Diceros bicornis minor: one gene and its partner. The protein of the gene in region 2 interacts with the protein of the main gene of each other region in a pairwise test. Links are inferred from orthologs where the notes say so. Each region holds a gene or a part of one and is shown on either strand. Other genes may lie near its edges.

The links.
Region 1: the proteins of SIPA1L2 (region 2) and AP3M1 interact in binary tests that used the Homo sapiens proteins (3 or more experiments, as listed by UniProt). The two-hybrid records come from large-scale screens. The link is inferred for Diceros bicornis minor from reciprocal best matches to the Homo sapiens genes SIPA1L2 and AP3M1.

Annotation. Positions count from the first base shown.
Region 1 is NC_080745.1:32,588,937-32,596,846, reverse strand, and holds the start of AP3M1 (AP-3 complex subunit mu-1), read right to left. Parts: upstream 3,087-7,910; 5' UTR 2,814-3,086; intron 2,657-2,813; exon of another isoform or gene 2,127-2,656; intron 1-2,126. Other genes in the region: ADK (adenosine kinase), read left to right, coding at 3,344-3,408. UniProt on the Homo sapiens protein: Part of the AP-3 complex, an adaptor-related complex which is not clathrin-associated. The complex is associated with the Golgi region as well as more peripheral structures.
Region 2 is NC_080745.1:23,700,875-23,708,362, forward strand, and holds the start of SIPA1L2 (signal-induced proliferation-associated 1-like protein 2), read left to right. Parts: upstream 1-4,274; 5' UTR 4,275-4,512; intron 4,513-7,488.

The DNA of each region.
Region 1 (7,910 bases), about 8.9 Mb from region 2:
GCACCGCTTCTCCGGCCATGCTGAGGCGGCGTCCCACATACAGCAATTAGAAGGATGTGCAACTATGACATACAACTATCTACTGGGGCTTTGGGGAAAAAAAGGAGGAGGACTGGCAATAGATGTTATCTCAGAGCAGGTCTTCCTCAGCAAAAAGAGGAGGATTAGCATAGATGTTAGCTCAGGGCTGATCTTCCTCACAAAAAAAATAAAAATAAAAAGAAGAAGAAGAGATAAGAGAAATATTTAGGCCTGCGCAAAGATTAGGTGGTAGAAGGGGAGGAGATGAGAGGGAAATGAGGCATTTAGCCCTGGTCCTGTATAATCTGCCCCAATTCTGGATATATTTGACCCAAATGGATATATTCAAAAGGCTATTGTATATATAGGTCTGGTGCTTCAGAGAGAAGCCAAGTTGGAGATAGATTTGTGAGTAATCATGATTGTTTGTTAAGAGGAATTGTAACTACAAGAATAAAACTACAAAGAGAGAATGTGCATAGTAGAAGAGAGCCTATGGAAGGAACTCCAACATTTGAGTAGCAGCTGAGTCCATAAAGTGGGCCTAAAAATAAAAAAACTAAGAAGATGTGGCTGAAGAGGGATAAGAAACAAAGGGGGGAGGGTAACGGTTTGTAGTAACTAGAGTGTGTTACCAGAAGATTGGAGTAGTAAACATTTCAAATAGCACAAAGAGTTAAAGCTACAAGAAGAACTGAAAATGACTGTTGATTTAACAGTGTTTTTCAACTTTCTTTTCATTATTGCCTGCTAAGGGGACTTGTCAGACTTCCCTTCATTCACACCCCTCCTCCATAAAATTTTAATACCACCGAATATATATCTGTATATCTCTTTACATATTGTAAATATATCTGTGCTTTATACATAAAAATAGCATGATTTTTTTGCCTCACAACAAGCAATATTTGTCCCTACTGAGAATGTATGATTTAACACATAGAGGACATTGGTGATCTTAGTAAAAATAGTTTCAGTGGTAGTTCAGTACAATGATGGAAACAAGATATACTGCAGTGGGCTGAGAAAGTGGGAAAAACAGACATACGGAGAGTAGATGATATATTCAAGAACTCTAGCTGTGAAGGGGATGAAAAGACAGGAAAGTAAATGGGAGTGGTTCATAAAGGAAGAATATTTTTAAATACTGAAGGAAAGGTGTGAGTAAAGGGGGAAAGGCTAATGAGGAGGAGAGAGGGAATAAGTGAAAAAAAGAGGACCCTGAGAAGACAGAAAAGGATGGTATTGGGAGACTAAGTGAAAGGATTTGCCTTCCCTAAGAAGAAGGGACCCTTTTTCTTCTTTAAAGAAAAGGGGAGGTTTGTGTATTCGGTTGCAGGAAGATGATGGCTCTATTATCTCTGTGTAATAGGAGAGAAGGACATTTGTAGAGGGAGAGAGAATTCCTTTTCTCTACAAATATCATTTGCTACTCATAAATTGAGATATTATAGAGCTACTTAAAAACATCTGGTCTGCAGGGAACTCCAATAGTATATTATGTTGAATGTTTAGAAATATTGTAAAAATCCTAACATTCAGCAAGAAAAGTTAATCTTATTGTAAAGAGAGCTTTCCTACTAAAGATATGTAAATTTCAGGTACTTCTTCACTCACTTCATTCCTCCACTTTTCCCATGGTCTCAACTGAAAGTGTCCTCCTTTCTTTCCAAAACCAATCCACTTGTAATTTTGATCCCATTCCCTTCCCTTTTTTCCTAGGTCTTATCTCTCTTGAATCTTTAATCTTATACATTGGTTACTTGTTTTCTGCACCAAAACATAATGTGCCTTGTATTCTTTAGAAAAACAAATCCCAAACCTTTTAGAGACCTTGCCACCCTCAAAACTCTTTTGCTTCATGCTCCAAATGAAGAAGGATTAAGTCTACACTTGCAGCCTCTCCTCTCAGTAATCTACTCTATTTAAAGCAGCTCTCTCAAGTGGCCCAATGACTTCCTAATCATCGAATCCAACGACCCATTTTCAGACTTCAACTTCCTCCTTTGACCCTTGCAGCATTTCACATAACTGATAACTTTCCCCCAAACAAAACGAACACTTCTTACTCTATTATGTGAAACTTCACCTGATTTGGTCCTCACCTTGAAAATTTCTTTCCGGCTTACTTTCCAGGCTTTTTTTTTTTTTTCTTTTTAATCTTTCTACCATCTCCACTTAAACCACGGTTTCAAACTTGATATATCCCAATTTTATAGTGGCACCACTTTCTTAACCTGTAGGCTATAAGCTTCAGCTTCAACCCAAATCCACCAAATCCAGCAAGCCACATCGCTCATCACTTTTCCATACTCACTGCCACCTCCTCAGTTTAGATTTCCGTCACCTCTCTTCTAAGAACTGCAACACCCTCTTCACTGTATTCCCCACCCCAGGCTCATCCAGGCGCCACCCTCTAACAGGACGTCCGCTCAGGTCAGTCAGAGGTTTTGTCCTCCACAGCAAAAGCCTGGGGCTGAGGTCCGAGTCGTCAGTACTCCAGCTCATTGTGGGTGACAAGACTTTTTCCCGAGCCAGAGCACGGAGAGGGACCCCAAAGAGCTTGAACCTCTTGGGCCTGGGGCCGGAGAACCCTGGGCTCCAGGTGCACCGCTCCCTTCCGGCCCTCCTGGCAAGGAAGCCCGGAAGGCCGGGAGGGAGGAGCGGTCCCGGCCCACAGCACCAGAGATACTCCTGCAGCCCAGCCTGGGATCCGGAGCCACAGCTACTCAGCTTACTCCCCAGTTTTCGAGCTGTCCCCTGTCCGCAGACTCCCCTCCCCTCACACTCACCCCAACACCTGGGCCTGTCAGTGATTCGGCGCCGGGTCCTTTCCGGACGGAGGCTGAGGAAGCTTCGAGGGCCGTGAGGACCCCGCAGGTGGAGTGCCCAGTAGATTGCCTTACTGACAGCTTCAAAGAAACCACCTCGTTCCACAGTCTTGAAAAGATTAAACAAGCGGGAAGACGGTGAATGAGAAGAAAGATGTCTCTTGATGTTTAAGATCTAAATCTTCTAGATCACCCAGAATCTAGAAGAATGGGCGATTTCTGACCATATGGACTCAGGCGCTCATGCGCAGCCTAACTCAGTCTGGGGTCCCCCTACTGTCCGGTGGGCGGGGTCAGGAGGGCTATGTTTTAGCCAATTGGTGCAACCGACGGGTAGAGCCAATGGCTGTGGGTGGGGGAGGCACGGACTTAGAGGAGTCGGGAGGGGCGGGGTTCGGAGGAAAGGAGGCGGTGATGCGAGGAGGGGGCGGGGCCAGAGAGTCGAAGGGGTGGGGCGTGGGCTGGAGCTTAAGTAGGGTGGGAGCGCGAAGATGGCAGCGGCTGAGGAGGAGCGGAAGCCCAAGAAGCTAAAGGTGGAGGCGCCGCGAGCGCTGAGGTGAGGGCTACCCGACGTAGGGTGGAGGGCGACGGCGTCTGCCGCTAACCAGGGCCCACGTGGGGTTGCGCGGCTCCGGCACTGGGTGGTGCCTTCGCTGCGGGCATGGGGCCAACACGGAGGACCGGCTGCTCGGGGAGCTGCCCGCAAGGCTGCGACCCCTCAAGCGGTGCCCGCCCAGTTTGGCCGAATCGCCGCTGCTCTGGAGCGACTCCGGCCGCCTTTGGCCAATCAGAACGCCAGCCGAGGGGTGGGGGTGGGAAGGCCGAGCCAGCTGTGGCCAGGCTGCGGGCGCCACGTGGGAGCCCTCCCTGTCGGTACTGTGACCCCCAGAGGAGGAGATTGGACCAGAGCAGTCATACGCGGCCGCCTCCTCTTCGCTGGGGGTTAACGAGGAGGAGGCCCAGCTGCTGCTCTACGCTGAGGCAAAGAAAGAATTATCGGGGATTTTTCGTCAAGTGTCCCAAGAGGACGATTTGACCTTTCTTTTCGTTCACACTCTGAAAGTTGGCACCTTTGAAGACCCTCTATCAGGGACATACACCCGGCCTCCGAGGCTTTACCGGGGCCGTCTTTGGCTGAATGGATAGGAAAGGTTGATTTTTCTTTCCACGTTTTGGCAGCAATGGGGACAGTTCTGCCCCTAACACCTGCCTCACATGTGCTTGATGATGCAACTTTTACTTGTAAAAAGTTGTTTGCTAAAATATTCCTTCCTAATAAGTATAACATGCAGCGCGCACAGTCCTTGATTTTGAAATGTTCGTTGGGAGGCAGTGGTTTTTTAATCTAAAAATAGACATATCAAATTGATTTAAAACTATTAGGACACTCCTGATTATAAAAGAGAAATCTTGTTTCTTCCAACATTACCCTTTTTTTCCTCCAAAAGAATGAATCATTCAGAATTGAAAAGAAAAGTTCACAGGGGCCTGGCGGAGTGTTCATGCTGTTTTGAATTGACAGTGACCAGTGCCTTTAATGCATTCCTCCTACCCGTACCTACCTTATACGAAGAAAATAAACTTTTTTTTAACAACTCAAGATGTTCTATTTTTATTTTAAGCTTTCAAACTATAGAGTAAAGCAAAGGCTTTACCTGGGTGCGAGGCATGTGCTCTCCCTTCTGGGCCCATTTTTAGAATATTTCCTTAAAAGGCACCTCCTACATAAAGTTTCCTCTACCGAGTTGGAAGACAGATGCAACTTTTCCCTACTATCTTACTAGACATACGGCCTTAGGTTTTCCCTTATGCTAATCCATTGTCAAAGTGGTTTCCTGTTTTACAGATGAGGAAATTGAAGCCCAAATTAAACACTTAGATAAGGAACTGAAATACGGATCCAGAGCATATGCGTGCAAGTTGATTGTTGTTTGACTCTACTATGCCTATTTTTATACAGCCACCCAAGATACACTTTTCTCTGCCTATGCATCCTTAAAAATAATGATAAATTCTAATGTTTAATACTTAAGTATGTGCTGGGCATTGTTTCAGCATTTTATCCATTTTAACTGATTGAATCCCACAACAACCCTACAAGGTAGATACTATAATCTCCATTTTACCAGGGAGGAAAGAGCCATAGAGAGGTTAAGTAACTTGATCAAGGTCACCTATCTAGTAAGTGATGGGGTTGGGATTTTAATCCAGGTAGTCTGATTCCAAGTCTGTACTCTTAATTACCATGCTATACTTATTAACTTAGAGCAGTTTATCCAGAAACCCTAGTGAACTGTTAACTCAGTTTTTGTTTCTCTACTTTTGCTTCTGTTTTTTTGTTAGTGTACATAACTTTTTATGTTGTTGCAATATATGGGCATATGATACATAATAATTCTTAAATACATATAATGCATTTTATATATATATATATTTTTATATATGCCATTAGTGTAATTTAAAATTTGTAAAAGTCCTTAGGCAACTAAAACTCATTTTATACAATATCTACTTAGTTAGTGCCACCTCTAGACATGAAGTTAAGGATGAGACGCTTGAGTACTGGGACAAATCTTTTAATTTTGTGTAAAGACCTTTTGGAATTGGTTCTTCCTACTTTCATTATATTAGTTTGGCTTTAAGGATTGCAGTGTGATAATGCACTGAGTGGTTAGACTGCATGCATTATCTCTGATGACTGCTTGACAGTTAAGGGGCTAGTTAACAGTTCCGATTAACTTTTAAGGAGAAAGGCTTATAAAATCTAAGCATAATTTAATGTGTAGAATCAGTGAGTGGGGAACAAATACATTTATGAGATATATTTGTAGATGTCAGGGAATGGATTAGAGCTTTGTGAGAATTTCATTTAGCTCTGAGGTAGCAGTTGTCAATGAGGGGAAATTTTGCCCCCCGGGGGACATTTGGCAATGTCTGGAGACATTTTTGGTGGGGAGTGCTAGTGGCATCTAGTGGGTAGAGGTCAAAGATGCTGTTAAACATCCTACAATGCACAGAGAGCCCACTACAACAAAGAATTATCCAGCCAAAATTGACAGTTGTGTTGAGATTGAAAAAACTCTGCTCTACGGAAAGCATCTGACAAGTCTAGCCTCTCTTTTTCAAATATCCATTATTTTCTAGGTTGGATTGCTTTTCAGGGGAAAGCAGTTACTAAAGTTGCAAAGAAATAGGCAGGCTCTAACATGTTTTGCATTGGGTTGGGGAACAGAAGGGAACATTAGTTGAGTCCCAGACTTTATACTCCCTGCTTTATATATGCTATCTCATTTAATTTTCCCAGCAATCTGTGAGGTAGCAGTAGTGATCCCCATGTTACAGGTGAGATATTTAGGGCTGAAAAAAGTTCAGAAGCATTCTCGGGAACTGCTCCCTAGATGAAGATGTTCCATGATGATTACCTATATCTAGGACCACATAGTTCTTTTTTCTCCTTTGGAAATCTCATCCAAGTTCATTTCTTTAGTGGTCACATCTAAGAGGATACAGTTCCTTCCAAGTCTTGTTGAGCACATGCCAAGTCTGTTCTTTCAGTCAGACTTTTAAGTGCCTGCTAATTTAGGCATAGTGCTAAATATTAGGTACATATATATAGAGAGGTAAGACTCAGGTACCACCCTTTTGGTGGGAAATGAGTAGGGTTTGGGAAAATGATACCTGAGCATTCTGAAAGATGACAAGGAATAAACCAGGTATAAAGTAGGGTATGTGGCTTTATAGGAATGTTTGTTTAGAGGTGGAGATGGAGGAGAGCTGCCTCTGTTGGGGAACTACAGATGGTTTGGTTTGGCTAAAGCAGAAGATGTAGGGATTCCAGGCTTTGTACTGGAGGGTTTCACAGGTGTGATCTTTCTATCTCTATATCCTTCAGCTCTCAGACCCTAATTTTAACTATCTGCTCAATATCTCCTTCTGAGTGTCTTGCTGACACTTCGAAGTCATATGTACCAAACTAAATACACCTGTTGTCCTAAATCTGCACCTTCTTCTATGGTTCCTGCATCTGTTAACGGCACCACTAACTGCTGTTTCTCCAAAGTTTAGAACTTAGATATTTGCTTCATTTTCCATCCACATGTAGTTATCAAAGTTGGTCTTTTCTTCTTCAGTAATGTCTTATAAATGCCTTTCCTTTTCCATTCCTGCTGCAACAACTCAAGTTTAGACTGTGTCTTGCTTAGACTTTGTATTGGCTTCCTAACTAGTGTCTCTACTTCCACTCTCAAGTTCTGCCTAATCTTCTTCAGGCATAGCTTTACTTATTCATCATAGCAAATATTTGTAAGCTCTGAAGTTGATGTTAGGAAGAGTTGAATCCTAAGAGCCCACATTGTAACTTTCTCTGACATTAGCAATTAAAGAGTGTTCTGAGTCATGACTTTTAATACTAAAAAGGAAACAAACTGCAATTCTCCAATCAGCAAATGTTGAGCTTTTCTCAAATTATTGCTTCCTAACCATTTCACTTGGACTCCCCTCCGCCACCATCTCGTACCTCACTAAGGACCCTGTGTTTTAAAATTGCATGGTAACCCTAGGAATAAAAGTCTGTAAGTATCTTAGGTGACCAAGCAACAACTTCAGTAACCTCTTCTTCCAAACCACATTTTTTTCTCTTTCAGAAAATTCTCTGGAAGATTACTTTATTTTTATAAACTGAACACACTGTTCTTGGAGGGGTCATTGTGAGGATTAAATAAGGAAAATATATGCAGACTGGAAAAGAGAAAGGATGATTGTGTGTCCTTAGTGTTGCACAGTGCCTGGTCGTTAGGAGCTGTTCAGTTAATGTTTGTTGAATGAATTAATCTGCACAACATAGGGTGGGACTGATAACCTTCACTTTTCTAGAACTTATATTTTTATTAACGCAGCCTGAAATTGAGTTTGGCTCTTTTTGGATGAAATAGCATGCTGTTCACTTATATTCACAAATTTAATCCTTTAAGATTAAGGCTTTGAGCTATGAGGGAAAATGGAAGACAAAAGTCTCCTGAGGTACTTTGTATGAATGCCTTAATCAGGTCCTTTCCTGGG
Region 2 (7,488 bases):
CTTAGGATTGTTTCCTATGTAAAAATCCCAGCTCAGACCTATTGTACTTCCTTGAGGAGGGTATCATTATTTACACGTAATACTCTTCTTCTGCATCTCCCAGAGTAGAACTGAGCACACAGTAGGCCTTCAAACATACTTGCAGAATTGAGGTTTTGTAGATGGGTTTCTTCTTAGGCTCCTATGGATAGTATGTGATATTTAGCACATTATTTCATCTCTTACATTATTCTATAGCATTCCACTTGAAGGGAAACAGGTACTTTATTTTTATCAGGACCGCTGGTTGACTCACAACCAAGGCCAGTAACTCAGCTTTCTGAGTTGTAGCTAAAGCATTTTTTTTTAATTGCAGCAGAACTTGGCACTTCTTATTTTACTTCACAAGGCCATATCCTAACAAGTTTCTGTTGTGAGAGGTTTCCATTTTGAAAGACAGGTGAGGCCGTGCTCCCATGCTCATCCGCGTGGGAGGATTTCCCCTCTAAGAAGAAAACAGGGTCTGGCATGGATGAAGCACCACATAAGTGTTTATTATGTAAGTGAATAAGCCTCTGCTTGGCCAAAGGGCACGGCTGTTTCCCAAACATGCCTTGCACAGCTGGTTCCTGTGTCTTTGCTCACTGTGCTTCCTCTTGCTGGTAGTGTTATCTTTTCTCCTCCCTACTTGGCTGGTTTGATATCCTTGGTGAAGACTTCCTCAACTGGCCCAAGCTTTGCTTGTGGACCATTGACTCTCCTGCTCTCCCTGTGGGTGCCACTCGGTGGCGGTCCTGAGCACCTGCTCCCAAGTTCTGCTCCTTGTCATGAAATTCACATACTCTGGTGTACAGCCCTTTAGGTCCTTTGAGTATAACATAATGCCCTGAATGTGGTATGCAATCAATACATATTTCTTGCAAATTACGAACATTCACTTGTCTTAAAAGAAATATGTTAAAAAAGAGGGTTGATAGTAGAAAAGAGAAGGAGGAAATGAGGATGGGAATCTAAACCCTTACTTAACTTAGCCATTCAGGTTTATTTCAGTGCATGCGTATTGTCTGTAAGTAGAATCTTGCTGTAGTATGTCAAGGAAATAAAACCCTTGCTTTGCTGAATTCGAACGTAAATAGATACAAGTGCCAGCCAAGTCAGCCAACAAACTCAAAATCTTGGAATGGTGTAGACAGCTGGTATGTCTTTGAACTCTGTGCCTTTTCACACCTGTTAGAGAAAAATAGGTAAGACTGATGTTGGAATTATTTCAGAAGGAGTTGATGTGCTGATTCAGAGTTATAAAGAGAATTAATCCCTTGAGTCTGTTTCTTTAGGAACCCTATAGCCTGATGAAATTCACAGGAGAAAAAAGACTTTTGAGAGACAGAAAGTGAGGCTTAGAGAACAAGGGGAGAGGAAGTCTTGACCCGAGGAAAGGTGAAAGTGAGAGGGTAAACACAGGTTAGCTCACTCTAGCTTTTAGGCAAAAACAATTTCACCAGTCATAGTTGATATTTTTCTTTAAAACTTCAATGAAATTTATTGCTTTAACAGAAAAAAAGAATTTTTTTCAGTAAGTCAATCTAAGGCCAAAATAATGAAGCAATATATTAACAGGTGCGGCAGTTCCACGGTCTCCGCCATGAGTTTACCCTTCCCTAAAAAGGCAAGAAATCAGAGGGCTGCTGGGAAGAAGACCAGTGAAGAAGACAAGAGCATTACATCTAATAGTATTTCTAGAAGATTTCATTTGGTGAAAAAGATCCAAAATTATTCCTGAGCTTTGTCTGTCCAAGGTGTCTCACAGTCTGCCCCGAGGCAACACTTTGTGGGTCTTGCCCTGGGCCATATCGCCATTGTCCAGCATTGGCCAGGCAAGGTGAGGGGGCTCAGGATGTGTTTGCTGAGGCCCGGGACATTCTGACGAGGGACAGTTGCATGTAACCTGAGTTTCTGGGAAAGTCAGAAACTCTCACAGACTTTCATAAGTGCACACAACTGTTTACTCTGCACCATCAATTACAAGCATTTAAAAAATGCTGCAAACTTTGATAGTGGCCCAAAGGGTTTAGGATATTTCAATTTTAGTTTGCAAAACACAAGAAGAGGGATGGTAAGGTGGGAGGGGAAGAGCACTGTGGCTAACATTGTCTTTGGGAGTGTCTGGCCAGACTTCCTTAGAAGATCACTATGTATTGGACATTAAGGAACACACCAAAGGGGCCTCCTCATCTATCAGGCAATGGACAACTGCACCTCAGAGTCAACTTGTTGACTCAGGCAGTCACTGTCTTAGGAACCAAAACACTGGGGGAGACGTGGTTCTTTTCCCCCTGGCTCTTACAGAACAGGGGGAAAGACAATGAAACGTGCGATTACGTGATGTGGAGAAGTACTGGGACAACGTGCTGTGAAGGGAGTATGTCCTCCCTAGGCTCCCCCAGGCAATGTCCCTCATGGCCACTCCTGTGGGATTTTGTTCATAACTCTAGTACAGCATCTACAATGTATGAGGACCCACACGTGTAAGATGGTGACCTCCTGAAGAGCAGGGCCTATGTCCTATGCATTTTTATATCCCCCGCACCTACCACCTTCTAGAACACTACATGCTCTCCATAAATGTTTGTTGAATTAATAAATGACAAATCTTGTAAATTCTGATAATGGGGTGACAGTTGGGAAGCTGATGAAAACCTGGAGAACTCAGGAATTGTGTCATGCCATAGTATTGCTCTCTGACGTTTTATTATACTCATACCCGTATTTTACAAAGAGATATAAAAGATCGTACAATGTGTATATGCTTTAGATCACAGAGAAATATAGCATGGGAGGGACAGCCTCTAACTTTTCACAGGGTTATGTTCTAGGCAATGTTTGTGACAGAAAGTACAGACAACATTCTCTCTCCAGGACGAATTCTGCCTCTAGAAAGGGAGGAACTGCAAGTCCTGAATCCAGTCTCAGGAAACAGCCGGCGCAGCTCTCTCACCTTAAGCCAGCTTACGAAATCCTATGGAGGGGCTGGAAGGTAAGCTAGAAGCTACCTAAAGCAGCCTATTCCTGCTTGTAAGTTGTGGCTCTCACTGTACCATTTAAGCAGAGTCAACTCCAGTGTAGCTTAAAAGAGTCTTCTGAGATCCTTCAATCTTTCAGTAACCAATTCAAATGTCAAGCAATTTACATATAATAGTTTCAGGTAACGCTTCCTATTGGATGATCAACATCTCCTAGGAAAGTAGAAGAGATGAGTATAAAAATTTCATTTCCTCCTCGTTGAGATACAGATCCAAGAACATTTTTCCCTGGGGTTGAGGGCTGCCTGGCGGGAGTGGTGGGCGGGCCCCAGGTTGGGCCGGGGGCGCCTGGACTGCATGCCTCTCCCAACCGCTCCCCTGGCCCTGAAGATCTCTTCTCCGCAGCATTCCTGCGCGCTGGCACCCACCTGACCTCATCTTAACATTCTATTTCTTTATGCGTTTGTCTATGCAACCTCCCATCCCAGCCCCTGAGTGCAGCGGCACCGCCTCGGTGGTCCGGGGGCGCCCTCCGGGGCCGGCACACAGTAGGAGCATAGCCTCGGCGGTTCAGGGGCCCTCCAGGGCCGGGACACAGTAGGGGCTCGCCCCTCCTGCCGTCTTCCCGTGAACACAGTGAGGCGGTCGTTTGGGCGGTCGCCGGCCGCGGCGATCCTGCGGCGTCCGGGAGCAGGTGCCTGCGCAGCGCCTGCGGCTGTCTCTCGTCGGCCGGCGACATTCAAGCTCTCGCGGCGCGGGGACCCGAGCGCCGGGCAGGCGCGTCTCTCCCAACTCCAGAGCGTGGAGGGCCGGGCGGGGTCGCGACTGCGCAGGGGGCTGCTGGGAGCCAGATTCGGGGTTTTTAACTTATTCCTGCCAGAGGGGCGAAAACGGGTCCCGAGGAGGACGGCGAGGGCTATCCCGGACTGCTGGTGCAGGTAGGCTGCACCTCCCCCCAGGTCGCCTGGCGCCGCGCACCCCGCCCCGCAGCTCCTCCCAGGAAGGACGCCCGAGCCCCTCCAGGACGCGCCGCTCCCGCGCGCCGCGGGCCTGGGAACCGCGCACCGGCTGAGCCCGGAGCCCCGCGGGGCGGCGGGACGGACGGCGCCCGCGCCCAATCGCGGGGCGGGGCCGAGGGGGCCTGCAGGCGGAGGCCAATGAGAGGCCGCGGAGCGGGCGGGGGGCGGCGCCGCCAGGCGGGCGGGCGGCGGTGTCGCTAGCCGGCGCGGCAGACTCGGAGCCCGGGAGGAGCCGGCGGAGCGGGAGGAGGAGGACGGAGGACGGAGGAGGAGGAGCAGCGCCGCGCCCCCGCCCCGGCCGCCCGCCCGCCTGCCCGCTCGAGCGCAGGCCGACAGCTCCAGCCGCAGCCGGCAGGTCCGGGCCGCCTCCCGCCGGAGCCCGGCGCGGGCCGATGGGCAGCCCCGGGCAGCGGCGGGCGGCGAGGCGGCGGCCCCGGGACGCGCCGCCACGCGCTCGCGGGCTGTAGCCGGTCCCGGCAGACTGCGTTTCAGAGGTGCGTGTCAGGGCGAGCGGATGGGAGCGAGGTGGAGTCCGCCCCGGAGCCTTCGGGTGGTGTCTGGGGACGGCCTTGGCGGGGACTGTCCCGAGGTCAAGGGGCTGCCCTTCGGGGCGCCTCGAGGGGCTGACGGCGGGCGCTCCGGAGCGCGGTGCCTGGGGCAGCGAGGCAGGGGCGCGGGGCGGGGGTCTGGCTCGCAGCTGCGCCCGCGCTCCGAAGCCCCGGGTGGAAGAGGAGCCGCCGCCGCTCCTTCTTTCAAAGTTATCGATCGGCTGAAAGATTATTCCCGTCCTGGTGACACGAGCACTAATGAGGACCTCCTCTGGGTGCCCAGCAACTCCTCTGTGACTAACCCAAGAGAAAAGAGAAAAGATAAAAGGGTCCTTGACGCGGTGCACCCGTGCGCCGGGCAGGGTTACTTGCTGAACTTGCTGCGGGGTTTATTCCCCTGGAAGGTATGCGCCACGAGCGCGCCCCCGCCGGCGCCGGCTCCCCCTTTGTAGGATCCCGAGCAGCCGGCGAGCGCGCTGCTAACTCGCCTCGACCTTTCTTCGGAGTCCCGGCGGCTCTCCCGCTTCCCCAGGCTCTGTGTCTCGCTCCGTTCTCTGCTCCAGGTCCTGTTCACGTCCCCCCATATTATTAAATCTAGTTTGACCACGTCCTGGGAATATCCCCACGAGCACCTACAGATTAATTTTCATCCGTGCCGCAAACCAAAAGAATCAATTTCAGTTCATCCTCTACGAGCGAGAGCCGATGCGTCTCGAGAAGAGAAAACAACTTGGCTTTACCCCTCTGGGAGATATTTGTCATCATTAACCTGCTTCAGTTAAATTAATTCAGTCCAAGATGACTCCAGCGTGAGTACTGGAAAAATCAAGTGCATTGGTCACGGAAGTGTGGTCACCAAAACATGATTTTGGTTAAAATAAAATTGTAGACATTTTTGTTTTTGCTTAGATTTAGACTTGGTTTTGATAAAGATGGCCTTTCTATTTTTTTAAACAAAGAATCTTGATGATTCTCATAGGTTTGCTCAGTAAGTTCGAAATAGTCACTCAGATTTTTCTTTTCTTTGCCTCTTTTGTCTGCAGTTTTCATTTCTAAATGTTAACACTAGATGGCTTTCTTATGACAGGCATTTAATAAACTGCGCTTTTGAGTTGCCTATCTGCAATCCAGGTTGTAATTTTTCCAGTTTTCCAGTTAGTAATGGGAGAAAAAAAAATCTCCAAAACTGTTACTTTCTTTGAAATACATTACTTCCCTATAAAACCAATATTTATGCAGATATCAAAAGGTGGCCTACTATTTCTGGCATTTAAAGGTGAATTTCAAGAGACAACTTGGTTACTATTTTTAGTCACAGATTTAAGGATGTCTGTTTCATGTTTTGACTTATTTGAGGAATTCAAAGTTCTATGGTAAGACATGGAATTCTACTTACAGGACATTTCCACTTAGGTTGTTTACTGCTTGATTTAGTAGTTCACTGCTTGATTCAGAGAGATGTAAAAGAATATTATCATGGGAAAGTGCAATCTTTTTTGAGTTTCGGATGCAGATAGCATTGATTCTTCCTAAAGATTCCATTGATGCATTTGGGGAAGAGATGTAGTTGAGGTATATATGCATGATTCATACTGAGGATTGTGTTAGGGACACCTTTATTTCTTTCTCCCTAGTTACATTTGGTTTTTCATTTCTAAGTACAGCTCCTTTTATGAGAAGTACGGTAGTCTGTAGTTGGCCATTTCAGTGGCTGTGAGATCTCAGTTACCTGTTTTAAGTACTTTTTTTTCTAAAGCAAGACCTTGGCAGCCTGTCCAAATCTTGTCTAGGTAGGCAAACTTATTTATAAGCTGGAGAAATATCTTGAAATTATCTTTATAGCTGTCATTTGTGTGTCTTGCCCAGCTTAAAATATGATATGTTGAATTTGTTTGTTCTAAATTAGAGTGTATTCAGAAATAGCTGAAGGAAAAAAAACTCTCCAGCAAACATCTGGGAAGTAGGAAATGAAATGAAATCAGAAACAGCTTTTATCAGTACCCACATGCTACCTATAGATGGAGTGAAATGAACTTGGATAAGAGGCACTGCAAGCATTTGGTCCGGAAAATAAAGCAAGAGACAAACTATAGGTAGGGAGGTGGAGCTTCTGGCTTTGGAGTATGGGCCGCAGATTTTCCCTGGCTGGTTTAAGTATGTTTTTCATCAAATGCTTTTTATGTTTTTAAATCTTAGCCTTTCTCAAAGAGCTTTCATTTTATGGAATGTAAGAGGGGAATTATCAGAGCATCATAACTTTGACGTTTATGATGCTTATTGTAGTTAAAGCTATGTGATATTGGTTTGTAAGTTTTTTTTTCCTTGAGACTGGAATGGTATTTTCAAGGGTTCCTTGATACCTGAACTTAGTAAACACCTGTCTACGTTGGGGATCTTTTTACCTGAGGCAAAAGGAGTAATGGGTTATTCATTCTGTAAGACTATCTATTCTTGCAAGTGAGGAAATACTAGTGAGCTACCCTGAAAGGGCACTCATCTGGTAATTGAAACTGATTTAAATGTGTTTGGTCATCAAAACTAGTGTAAAAGGGGTTGTGTTTACTGCATACTTTGGAAAGAACTATGTGTTTATGTGGATCTAGCCCCCACCCTGCAGCCATGATTGGTAAATGCAAGGTTTTTTTTGAGATTGAGGTAGGCATGGAGCCTTTGAATTTATGATCTACTTGTGGTTTAGGATTACAAATCCTTTCAAAGGTGCTGAATTTGAAGAAAATTTAGACTGTTATTGTTAACTGAAAAACAAAGGTTTTTTTTTCCTGTTTTGAACTTGAATGAATTATGAACAGTCCTAAAGAATACAGGGAACCATGTTCCAGATTTTCTACTTTTATTAATGTACCAAATTCCCTTGTAGGGTGATAGAACAGAAAGAGCCTGAGGTGGGAGAGACGAGAATCT